Linked DNA regions of Arabidopsis thaliana. The protein of the gene in region 2 purifies or fractionates together with the protein of the main gene of each other region. This does not show direct contact. Each region holds a gene or a part of one and is shown on either strand. Other genes may lie near its edges. The genes, in order: WOL and FBR12.

Evidence for each region.
Region 1: the proteins of FBR12 (region 2) and WOL purify together in Arabidopsis thaliana (affinity purification with western blotting, with the first as the bait; one study listed by BioGRID). This does not show direct contact.

The regions. Positions count from the first base shown.
Region 1 is NC_003071.7:362,386-370,414, reverse strand, and holds WOL (CHASE domain containing histidine kinase protein), read left to right. Parts: upstream 1-2,057; 5' UTR 2,058-2,398; coding exon 2,399-2,460; exon of another isoform or gene 2,461-2,978; coding exon 2,979-3,528; intron 3,529-3,708; coding exon 3,709-3,945; intron 3,946-4,038; coding exon 4,039-4,208; intron 4,209-4,383; coding exon 4,384-4,602; intron 4,603-4,683; coding exon 4,684-4,922; intron 4,923-5,015; coding exon 5,016-5,245; intron 5,246-5,323; coding exon 5,324-5,422; intron 5,423-5,505; coding exon 5,506-6,710; intron 6,711-6,851; coding exon 6,852-7,083; 3' UTR 7,084-7,432; downstream 7,433-8,029. UniProt on the Arabidopsis thaliana protein: Cytokinins (CK) receptor related to bacterial two-component regulators. Also binds the synthetic urea-type cytokinin thidiazuron, a potent defoliant and herbicide. Functions as a histidine kinase and transmits the stress signal to a downstream MAPK cascade.
Region 2 is NC_003070.9:9,203,890-9,208,178, forward strand, and holds FBR12 (Eukaryotic translation initiation factor 5A-1 (eIF-5A 1) protein), read left to right. Parts: upstream 1-1,910; 5' UTR 1,911-2,078; coding exon 2,079-2,198; intron 2,199-2,562; coding exon 2,563-2,685; intron 2,686-2,782; coding exon 2,783-2,839; intron 2,840-2,927; coding exon 2,928-3,002; intron 3,003-3,082; coding exon of another isoform or gene 3,083-3,104; coding exon 3,105-3,209; 3' UTR 3,210-3,528; downstream 3,529-4,289. Other genes in the region: AT1G26640 (Amino acid kinase family protein), read right to left, coding at 3,731-3,826, 3,928-4,031, 4,128-4,190, 4,265-4,289. UniProt on the Arabidopsis thaliana protein: Translation factor that promotes translation elongation and termination, particularly upon ribosome stalling at specific amino acid sequence contexts.

The DNA.
Region 1 (8,029 bases), on a different chromosome or scaffold from region 2:
ATTCACACATTGTATTTTTGTTTTCAATTATTTTCGTTAGGTTTTAACCATTTATGTTTCTCTAAGGTCTAACCCAAACCCATTTGAGTTAAATTTTAATATATATATATATTAAAAAATAAAATAAAAGAACAAAAAAGAAAATAAAATAAATTCTTTTTCCTTTATAATATAAAGTACAAGTCCCTTGCCCAATAAAATTATGCCACATAAGATTTGTTTATAATTTAAAGAATTATTTAAAATTTTTTAAAAAAAAAACGCTCATTTTTTTTTTCTACATATTTAAAAACAAAAAAATATTCCTAGATTTTCTCACACACCACACCATCATTATCTTTGGAAATTTGTAACCAACTCAAGATTTTCCAAACCGTTTTATCTTCCTCTACAAAAATCCAATTCACGTTAAATCTATCTCTTGCTCTTGCTTCCTCCAAAAAAAAAAAAAAATCATTCCCAGATCCATCGATATGAAATTGTATAGAAAAAATGGTATTCGATCCAAGTTTATTGTCTTCTATTTTTCTTAGGTTAATTTCACTTTATTCCAGATTCATTGTTTGTTTTTTCTTTCTCGGAAGAGCACAATGTGAGTTTCACTGGCCTCTGTTATAAACATATATAGAAATCTGTAACAAAAATCATTACTAAAATTCTGTGACATGTGCAGCGATCAAAGAATCAATAGCGGAAAAAGAAACTACACTGCATTCATCTATGACTGAAAGCTTCTGATCAAGCCATGAAATTAAGGTATCCCAAACACGTATCTTCTCTATGTTTATCAATCTTGCTTTAAGTTCTAATTCTGCATATTTCAAAGGAACCATACAAGTGTTCCTAAAATCCATTTGAATATTCAAAAACTTCTCTCAAATATCATGTAGTTATAGAAGCTACTGTCTCTAAGCGCACGAGAGAAAGCTACACAACCCACGTCAGTTTCCATCTACACATATAAGGTAATAATAATATTTTCATGTATCTTTAATAATAGCTCTATGTTTTTTTCTGTATTTTTCATTATAAAACTCATAACTATGTTATCATTTAATATGGTACTAATTTAATGGGATTGATTTACTATTGCCTCAAACATGTAATAATTTAATGATTTTTTGTTTTTAACGTTTTTAGAAATTCATGAGCATTTTAAATTTGTGGTTAGGTCATAACAATTTGCTATTACAAAAAAAAGAAACACTCTAAATAATATAAAAAATAGTTTACCGTATAATACTAGTAGTAAATAAATAATTTGATTGTTATTCATAAATTTTGAATTCTAAAATCTCCTGAATCAACTCATGCAATTGTCTTAAGAATTACACGTGGATAAATCATGGGCTTATGAGTCAGGCCCATTTAACCGGGGTATTTTCGTAGTTAAGAGACTAGAATGGTGGGTATTTCAGGTAAAAGGTCTATGGGGCCAGATCTGCGCTTTGTCGCGATGTCATTATCGCCAAAGATATGCGATAGCGACTCTCGTACAAAGTCTCTCACTCACCTATATTTTTTGTTTTCTTATATTTCAACAAAAAAACGTTTTATTTTCCTTTTGGTGTAAGTAAAAAAACAAAACAAAACGTTTTATTTCTAAAGTTCAGAAAACTTATTTATACCAAGGAAAAAATAGATAATAAATTTTGAGAAGTTGGTGACTATATATTACTTCACTTATTCAAGAAATTTAAACATGGTAAATGTTACTTTAAATGTTAAATGATGTATAAGAAATGTAATGAAATTGAATAAATGTAGTTTTAAAGATGTTTTAATTAGTAAGACAAACCTAGTTAGTGTCACAATAATTATATTTTTTTTTTTGTCATCCAAAATTATTAAAGCTCAAGTAAACCAATCCTGAGGGATATTATTTACAAATGTGATATGATGCGGTTCGGTGCGGATCTTCCGCGCCAAATTATACGCTTTTATATTAGCATTATAAAAAATTATAGATAAAGAGAAGTTTGTGAATTCTTCATTGTCGCTTTGCAATTTCTCTAAATACACAGTAAATACCGACAATTCGGTTAGAGAAAATATATCTATTTCGTATAATAATGTTAACTTTGAGGAGATTTTGGGTAAAATAATAACTTTTGTTGGATGGATCATATCATGAGCCATTAAGAAAAAGTCCAAAACTTTTCTTCTTCAAAGTTGGACTCAAGTTAGAAAAAGAAAAAAGAGCTAGAGAGATATAAAAATGAAAAGAAAGTTCATGGCAAAAAACTGATATAGACAGAGACACAGAGAGAGAGAAACGTATCTGAAGAAAATCTAAAAAATTCGATTCAATTTTTTTCTTACTTTTAAAAGCAAAAAATCTCACTAAAACAAAAGAAGAAGAAAGAAGAAAGAAAATGGAATACCTACATTTGAAGTGATGAGAAGAGATTTTGTGTATAATAATAATGCAATGTTCAATCCTCTCACAACTCATTACAGGTAACTAAAATAATTTCTCCATGTGCTTGCTTATTAGTCGTTCTTCCTAATGTTATGTTTCTCTCTGTGTTCTTTCTTTCTTTGGTCAAAGCTTTAATTTTTTTTCTATTGTTGGATTTGAGACAGTGAACATAGCTATGTTCTTGTTCCAATAATAAACAATCACGCCTGTAAAGAGCTTATGATTGATTAGTGTGTTTTTTAGTATTAATTAATTTCTCTGACAATAATTACTTAGTTTTTAATTCTTCTCTGTAAGAAACCTTTGGAAACTGAGCAAAGTTGCTTCTTTTGAGAACCATGCGTTTCTTTCTCTCTTTTGTTCTTGAATTCGCAAAAACATGTCCTTTTTCGTCTACAGGTTTCTAGGGTTTGTTTCTGTACTATAAACTATGTTTATGGTAACATTCTTAATCATAACTACACTACCAATGCTTTTATGTTATATGTATGCAAAAAAGGCTCTAACTTTTGTTTTCTTTCACTATTGTTTCTTCTTTTGTTCTCTATTGTTGTAGCTCAGATATGAACTGGGCACTCAACAATCATCAAGAAGAAGAAGAAGAGCCACGAAGAATTGAAATTTCTGATTCCGAGTCACTAGAAAACTTGAAAAGCAGCGATTTTTATCAACTGGGTGGTGGTGGTGCTCTGAATTCGTCAGAAAAGCCGAGAAAGATCGATTTTTGGCGTTCGGGGTTGATGGGTTTTGCGAAGATGCAGCAGCAGCAACAGCTTCAGCATTCAGTGGCGGTGAAGATGAACAATAATAATAATAACGATCTAATGGGTAATAAAAAAGGGTCAACTTTCATACAAGAACATCGAGCATTGTTACCAAAAGCTTTGATTCTGTGGATCATCATTGTTGGGTTTATAAGCAGTGGGATTTATCAGTGGATGGATGATGCTAATAAGATTAGAAGGGAAGAGGTTTTGGTCAGCATGTGTGATCAAAGAGCTAGAATGTTGCAGGATCAATTTAGTGTTAGTGTTAATCATGTTCATGCTTTGGCTATTCTCGTCTCCACTTTTCATTACCACAAGAACCCTTCTGCAATTGATCAGGTCAGTGTGTGCTTTATTAAAAGCTCAAAGCTTTGGTGAAATTTTTGATTCATAAATGCAAAGTTGACTTTTTTTGGAACCAGAAGTTTTTGAAATTTACTCTTTTATGTTTGGTTATTGAGTAAATGAAGGGAAATTTAGGCCTTTGCTTTACTCATTGGTTTGTGGCTAATTTTGCAGGAGACATTTGCGGAGTACACGGCAAGAACAGCATTTGAGAGACCGTTGCTAAGTGGAGTGGCTTATGCTGAAAAAGTTGTGAATTTTGAGAGGGAGATGTTTGAGCGGCAGCACAATTGGGTTATAAAGACAATGGATAGAGGAGAGCCTTCACCGGTTAGGGATGAGTATGCTCCTGTTATATTCTCTCAAGATAGTGTCTCTTACCTTGAGTCACTCGATATGATGTCAGGCGAGGTAATATAAACATTATCAGACACTTATGGTTTTGTTTTTTCGGTTAAGTATCCGACCTGCACCTCTTCTGAATTTTGGCTATCTTTTCTGCAGGAGGATCGTGAGAATATTTTGCGAGCTAGAGAAACCGGAAAAGCTGTCTTGACTAGCCCTTTTAGGTTGTTGGAAACTCACCATCTCGGAGTTGTGTTGACATTCCCTGTCTACAAGTCTTCTCTTCCTGAAAATCCGACTGTCGAAGAGCGTATTGCAGCCACTGCAGGGTAAAGTTCCCATCTGATTACTGGAGCAAACTTTTGCTTGTGATCATGTAAAAAGAGATTTTCGAGATTTCATGATTGGTTTATGTGTGTGATCATGTAAAGGAAAGAGGTTTTTTGAGATTTCAAGATTGGTTTGTGTGTAAAGTAAAGATTGATGCTTGAATTTGAAATGCAGGTACCTTGGTGGTGCGTTTGATGTGGAGTCTCTAGTCGAGAATTTACTTGGTCAGCTTGCTGGTAACCAAGCAATAGTTGTGCATGTGTATGATATCACCAATGCATCAGATCCACTTGTCATGTATGGTAATCAAGATGAAGAAGCCGACAGATCTCTCTCTCATGAGAGCAAGCTCGATTTTGGAGACCCCTTCAGGAAACATAAGATGATATGCAGGTACCACACAGAAAATCTTAAAGCTAAAATACTCTCTGATATCTAAAAACTGATATCTTGTTTGAACAATTTCGAGTGCAGGTACCACCAAAAGGCACCAATACCGTTGAATGTGCTCACAACTGTGCCATTGTTCTTTGCGATTGGTTTCTTGGTGGGTTATATACTGTATGGTGCAGCTATGCACATAGTAAAAGTCGAAGATGATTTCCATGAAATGCAAGAGCTTAAAGTTCGAGCAGAAGCTGCTGATGTCGCTAAATCGCAGTTTCTTGCTACCGTGTCTCACGAGATCAGGACACCAATGAATGGCATTCTCGGTACTACATCTTCAAACAAATTCCAGTACTGTTGCCTTTCATCTTTGGTTTCTCAAACTGCCTCAAAGATTCTGTTTTAAAAATTTTCTGCAGGAATGCTTGCTATGCTCCTAGATACAGAACTAAGCTCGACACAGAGAGATTACGCTCAAACCGCTCAAGTATGTGGTAAAGCTTTGATTGCATTGATAAATGAGGTTCTTGATCGCGCCAAGATTGAAGCTGGAAAGCTGGAGTTGGAATCAGTACCATTTGATATCCGTTCAATATTGGATGATGTCCTTTCTCTATTCTCTGAGGAGTCAAGGAACAAAAGCATTGAGGTAAGTTTTCAATCCAAGGAATAAAGATACATCTATTTGGAGTTGTGGCTGCTAATTTCTTGATTTCAAATTTGGCAGCTCGCGGTTTTCGTTTCAGACAAAGTACCAGAGATAGTCAAAGGAGATTCAGGGAGATTTAGACAGATAATCATAAACCTTGTTGGAAATTCGGTTAAAGTTAGTCCCTATTTCAATCTCTGCCTTTGTTGGCAGCTTGTGTATATGATTTTTGTTTGATCAAGATGTTGTCTTTTTGACAGTTCACAGAGAAAGGACATATCTTTGTTAAAGTCCATCTTGCGGAACAATCAAAAGATGAATCTGAACCGAAAAATGCATTGAATGGTGGAGTGTCTGAAGAAATGATCGTTGTTTCCAAACAGTCAAGTTACAACACATTGAGCGGTTACGAAGCTGCTGATGGTCGGAATAGCTGGGATTCATTCAAGCATTTGGTCTCTGAGGAGCAGTCATTATCGGAGTTTGATATTTCTAGCAATGTTAGGCTTATGGTTTCAATCGAAGACACGGGTATTGGAATCCCTTTAGTTGCGCAAGGCCGTGTGTTTATGCCGTTTATGCAAGCAGATAGCTCGACTTCAAGAAACTATGGAGGTACTGGTATTGGTTTGAGTATAAGCAAGTGTCTTGTTGAACTTATGCGTGGTCAGATAAATTTCATAAGCCGGCCTCATATTGGAAGCACGTTCTGGTTCACGGCTGTTTTAGAGAAATGCGATAAATGCAGTGCGATTAACCATATGAAGAAACCTAATGTGGAACACTTGCCTTCTACTTTTAAAGGAATGAAAGCTATAGTTGTTGATGCTAAGCCTGTTAGAGCTGCTGTGACTAGATACCATATGAAAAGACTCGGAATCAATGTTGATGTCGTGACAAGTCTCAAAACCGCTGTTGTTGCAGCTGCTGCGTTTGAAAGAAACGGTTCTCCTCTCCCAACAAAACCGCAACTTGATATGATCTTAGTAGAGAAAGATTCATGGATTTCAACTGAAGATAATGACTCAGAGATTCGTTTATTGAATTCAAGAACCAACGGAAACGTTCATCACAAGTCTCCGAAACTAGCTCTATTCGCAACAAACATCACAAATTCGGAGTTCGACAGAGCTAAATCCGCAGGATTTGCAGATACGGTAATAATGAAACCGTTAAGAGCAAGCATGATTGGGGCGTGTCTGCAACAAGTTCTCGAGCTGAGAAAAACAAGACAACAACATCCAGAAGGATCATCACCCGCAACTCTCAAGAGCTTGCTTACAGGGAAGAAGATTCTTGTGGTTGATGATAATATAGTTAACAGGAGAGTAGCTGCAGGAGCTCTCAAGAAATTTGGAGCAGAAGTGGTTTGTGCAGAGAGTGGTCAAGTTGCTTTGGGTTTGCTTCAGATTCCACACACTTTCGATGCTTGCTTCATGGATATTCAAATGCCACAGATGGACGGGTAACTAAATCACAACTAATACTATTTTTGGATTATTCGGTTTTTGAATTGTTCGGTATGAAAAATTTCCCGCCAAATTATAACTGACTTGGTTTGGTTCGGATTCGGTTAAAATCTTTTATAAACTTCATTGATTCTCAGATTTGAAGCAACTCGTCAGATAAGAATGATGGAGAAGGAAACTAAAGAGAAGACAAATCTCGAATGGCATTTACCGATTCTAGCGATGACTGCGGATGTGATACACGCGACCTACGAGGAATGTCTGAAAAGTGGGATGGATGGTTACGTCTCCAAACCTTTTGAAGAAGAGAATCTCTATAAATCCGTTGCCAAATCATTCAAACCTAATCCTATCTCACCTTCGTCGTAATCCAATCTTCCGGCGAGTTTTTTTTCTCTCTCCGCAGCCGGAAGAGTGGACCGATTCTGCTGATTGATATGCATTTTGGTTTCTGTACATACAGTAGGTTCACAATCTAGAGATTTTGAAGGTTTTTTTTTCTTTCACCGAAGTAATGTAGCTTGCCATGACTAGTGTATGTTGTTAAACGACAACGTCTAAGACGACGGTTCAGTGTTGATCTTAGCGTAAGTATTAATCCCACGGGATCGTTTGTACTGTATCAGATTTGGTTAGTCGTTTAAACATTGTAATGTTCTAATAATAACTTTTCCATATATAACATCTTCTTATAACTTGAGACGAGACCATTTTGATTCATCTTTTGAGCTTGTTTAGCAACCAAATCGGTTAGCTAGTTGAACGAAGATCAGAGAAAGAGCTCAAACAACTCTTCATTAGCTATAGCTCAGTCGACGACTTGAGCTTTCAAACAACAGAAACAGAGCAAAGCTTAAAAACGACTGCGTTTTACTATTGGTTCGTCGATCTCACTAAACCGAGTGAGATAACCAAAGCCAATCAACAACCCTTTAATCGGATCTCTCGATGTAATCTATAAAGGATGAGAAGAATTAGGAACTTGTCCAAGAAGAGTATATAGAAAATATCTGACTTTTTGTTTGTTTTTTATATACTCTATCGACTTATTTTATCAGTTTCAGTAGGAACGCAACGAAATACTACAGAATGAATTTCTCCCGATTTAGGTAGAATTGGATCACCACACTGTTAGGTTCTAATTTGAAATGCCTTCCGACTAATACCAAGGATAATCATACCGTCTGCATTTCTAACTACCAAATAAATTAATTGGACCAAATCACAACTGAGAGACTTTCTAAACAAATTTGTTATTGTTTTCATGAAAAATCAAACTCAGGTATAGGAGTTAAAGTTTCCTTGTGCCACTACA
Region 2 (4,289 bases):
CATTTCTGGAGATGTTCGTGGAGGTTTTCGAATTTGGTTTTGTTTCCCAAATACCCAAAATATCATCAAGCATAATGGGCCGTAAATGCTCTTTGATTTAGCTTCCTAAAAGCCCAAAATAGCATCAAGTCTTAGTCTATAGGGCTATAATTGTCAAAATGAGCCAGCTCGCTCAGCTCAGCTCACCTCATGATGAACTTGGATCTTTTATGAGCCAGCTCAGCTCAACTCATTTATTATATGAGCTTCAAAATACAAACTCGGACTCAGATCATCTAAATCACGAGCTAAATGAGCTAGCTCGCGAGCTAATGCGAATAAATGAAAAAATTTATATTTTCTAAACTTGTTATGTAAATTATATATTTTTAAAAATATATTTCTATTTTTATAGATTATATAAATATTTATGTTTTGATTATTGACTTTTTGTGTATATTACTAATATTTATTTTCAGAAATTGTTATGTAACTTCTATATTTTCTAAAATATATTTCTATTATTTATAGAAAAATATATATATACTTTGATTGTTAGCTTTTTGTATATATTACTTCAAAAAAACCAAGCTCATGTTCATTAAAGCTCGCTCATATAACTCGTGAGCTAAATAAAGCTCGATCACTAAACTCATTTATTAAATGATCCTTAAAAATAGAACTCGCGCTCATGAATAACTGAGCCGAGTTGAGCCAGCTCATGAGCTATCAGCTTATTTTGACACCCCTAGCTATAACCAAAACTGAAGATCTCTTGAGTGTTGCATCAAACTACTATTTTTAATCAATAGTTAGCTTTTTTTTGTTATATTATCAATTAAATATTAACTTTTATTTGATTAAATATTTATTTAAATTTAATTTTGATTTTAAAATTTATCGTGCAAAATTTAGACTAAAAAGTTATATACTCAATTGTTTTTCATATTCGTTTCTTATGAAATTCATATACTCATGTGTATTGGATTTAATTGTAGTGATTTATTTTGTAATGAAAAAGTTAATATTTTTAATTAATAATACAAAAAAATAATTTCTTTACTATATCTTAAAAATTTTAAATTATTTTTTTTACATTTTAAGTTTAGTTATTAAATCAAAAAATAATTCTAGATTTCATGTAACTGAATTTTTTTTTTTGAAAATTAAATCTCGCCTTTAGAGTAAAAAAAAACTCTATTTTTTTAGTTATGTAGTCTGTAATATGAGGAATTAGATGTCACAAGCTAAAGTGGGGCCGCATGGAATGCACGCGAGAGATGCAAGAGAGAGAAAAAAATAAAATCGGGAAAATCTAAATCGTTGAGAGATTATAATCCAACAGCTGAGAAATAGGATAAATTATCAAACTAGAGAAACTTTGGCAGCTTTGGATGCTGAGAATGAGTAAATGTCAATGAATGAGAAGGCAAACAATTAAGGAGAAGCAACACAAAGTGAAACACAATCTACTCAAGCAGCTACTACGGTATTTAACTCTAATAAACGCTTAAAGTTTGATGTTCGGAAAGAGTTTAGACCCATGTTAGAAGTTGTTTAGATTTTTTCACTACTTTTGTATTTCTGTTTTAAATTAGAATCTTTGATGAAATTCTGTTTTGTATAATCTTTTAAATTATTAATGTTTGAGTGAATTTTGGATTTATAAATTTGTTAGAAACTTTGATTAAATTAAAGAATTAAAATCAATTAAGGGTAACAAATAAAGTTTTTTATACAAAATACAAAATACATGATTCAATTTAAATACATATGACAGTGAATATAATATATATGTCAAATACAGAAATAAATACAATTTAAAATATCTATATAAAATACAGTTTTTTTGAATCCTTTTTTTTTTATGAAGAGGCCTGTTTTGAGTTTGGGCTGGGCTGAATTGTTTTTACCCACCACAACATTCCTAAGGATAATAATACAGTAACCCTAGAAAGGTTTCCTCCACCTTCCTCTTCCCCTCCTATATAAAAAAAATCGACATCGCTTTTGCTCACTTCTCTCTCTTAGGTTTTTTTTCCCTTCTCCCAATCTCATCTTCTCCGAAAACCTTTCTTCTCTCAAATTTCTGTGAAAACATGTCTGACGACGAGCACCACTTTGAGGCCAGCGAATCCGGAGCTTCCAAGACCTATCCTCAATCAGCCGGTAACATCCGTAAAGGTGGTCACATCGTCATCAAAAACCGTCCCTGCAAGGTCTGATTTCTATTTCATCATCAAACATCGTTCTCGATCTCTTTTTCCTGATTCTAGATCTCGTCTCTGTATAGTAGCTCCTTGATTTTGTTTTTATCCTCGGATTTGACCTGGTTCTGTTTAGTTTGAATTTTTCTTATAGATCGCTACTTAGATGAATATGATGAATCTTATCCTGTTATTTTGATGGTGGTACCTCTCTAGATTCGTGGAATTTTGGGAAATGAAAATGAAAAATGGATAGAAATCAAGCAATATCAGACGACGCCTTTTGTGATTTTGAATCTAAGTAGTCTATTGATTGATTTGATTTAAACGTTTATGGAGAACATAGATTTGATTTTGATATTTTGGTTTTGATTAGGTTGTTGAGGTTTCGACTTCCAAAACTGGCAAGCACGGTCACGCCAAATGTCACTTTGTTGCTATTGATATCTTCACTGCTAAGAAGCTTGAAGATATTGTTCCATCTTCCCACAATTGTGATGTAAGTTACTACACAAACTATGTAGATTCATTTTCACAGTATTTGATATGATTGTGTGATCTGACTCAAATATTGTTCCTTTCTCTTTTTTTCTCAGGTTCCACATGTGAACCGTGTTGATTACCAGTTGATTGATATCACTGAGGATGGCTTCGTATGTTTTTCTTTATACTCACTTTCCTCATCACTCCAGCTTTATTTATCTATTCTTGCCATAACTTTTGTACTTGTTTACATTATAGGTGAGCCTTCTCACTGACAGTGGTGGCACCAAGGATGATCTCAAGCTTCCCACCGATGATGGTCTCACCGCCCAGGTTATTTTCTTGTCTTTTCATACTCGCACACAAATGACTTGACTTTGTATTCATCTCTCGAATTGTGATATTGAAAACAGTTGTTGTGTTTTGTTAATGCAGATGAGGCTTGGATTCGATGAGGGAAAGGATATTGTGGTGTCTGTCATGTCTTCCATGGGAGAGGAGCAGATCTGTGCCGTCAAGGAAGTTGGTGGTGGCAAGTAAACAAGTATCATTCGATATATTATTACCAGTTTGACAACGGACGTCAATGTTATAAGAACCAAAAGATGTTTTTCTTTTTCCTAATTTAGACCCTTTGTGTGTGTTTCTTGTTGCAAGACAACCATATCTATTGGTTTTGGATTGTTGGAAAAGTTTGTGTTGAAACATTCAAAGTTTCTTATGAGATGTTATTCTTAAAACCACTTTTTGTTTGTTCACTGGATATGTTTGTTCATGAAGCTTGTTTTAAGCAACTCTTTACATGATATTCATTGCTATTTGCACGATTCAAGAGTGACATATACATTTTATTTAACAATAACAGTGTAAGATATGTGATTGAATACTTGTGGAAACATAGAGTTACACAGGCTGCGATAGTATTCGACATTTTAACTGGTTTTGACATTACACGATTTTGTATTCCTTGCACAAAGTCTGGTAAAACAGTAATAGCAAGAAAAGGTCAATGCTTTCCTTTGTTGAGGAACTGGAATTAGTGTATTTGTCAGGAGATTATTCTACTTTGAGAATCTGATGATAGTACCAAGCCAATCTTCAGGAACACTATCTCTCAAATCACCGTTTAGTGCTCTCTGTGAATGAGTTGTCGCAGCCTGTTTGAGGAGATTGAAAAAAAGAGCATGATGGCGGTTAAAAGCTCCATCTTTATCTAAGATATTTAGTTGGTTAAAGGCAAAAGTTGTCTATAATCTACCTTCACAATGTAGACATCGACTCCAAGTTTTGCAATCATAGCAGCTTCTGATATCTTCGTTTCCATTCCACCGGTTGTATCGTGCGCCGCAACAGAGTAGTCAACTGTTTGATTCCAAAAATCAGAGAGGTTTGAACTTTTAACAAATCCCTCAGACTTATTGTATTGCATAGTTTTACAACATTGGTTCTTTCGTTTACCTTTCTTGTCTGTGTGCTCCAACAGTGGATTCACAACCTTCCAGCTTCCATCTTCTCCAACAGCTGCATGAACTGTTAGTATCAGGCCAAGTCTGGAAAAGATATAAAAAAAACAAACAGTAAAGTTTGAAACTAACCGATCTCTTTCAAGAGCACAGCGTC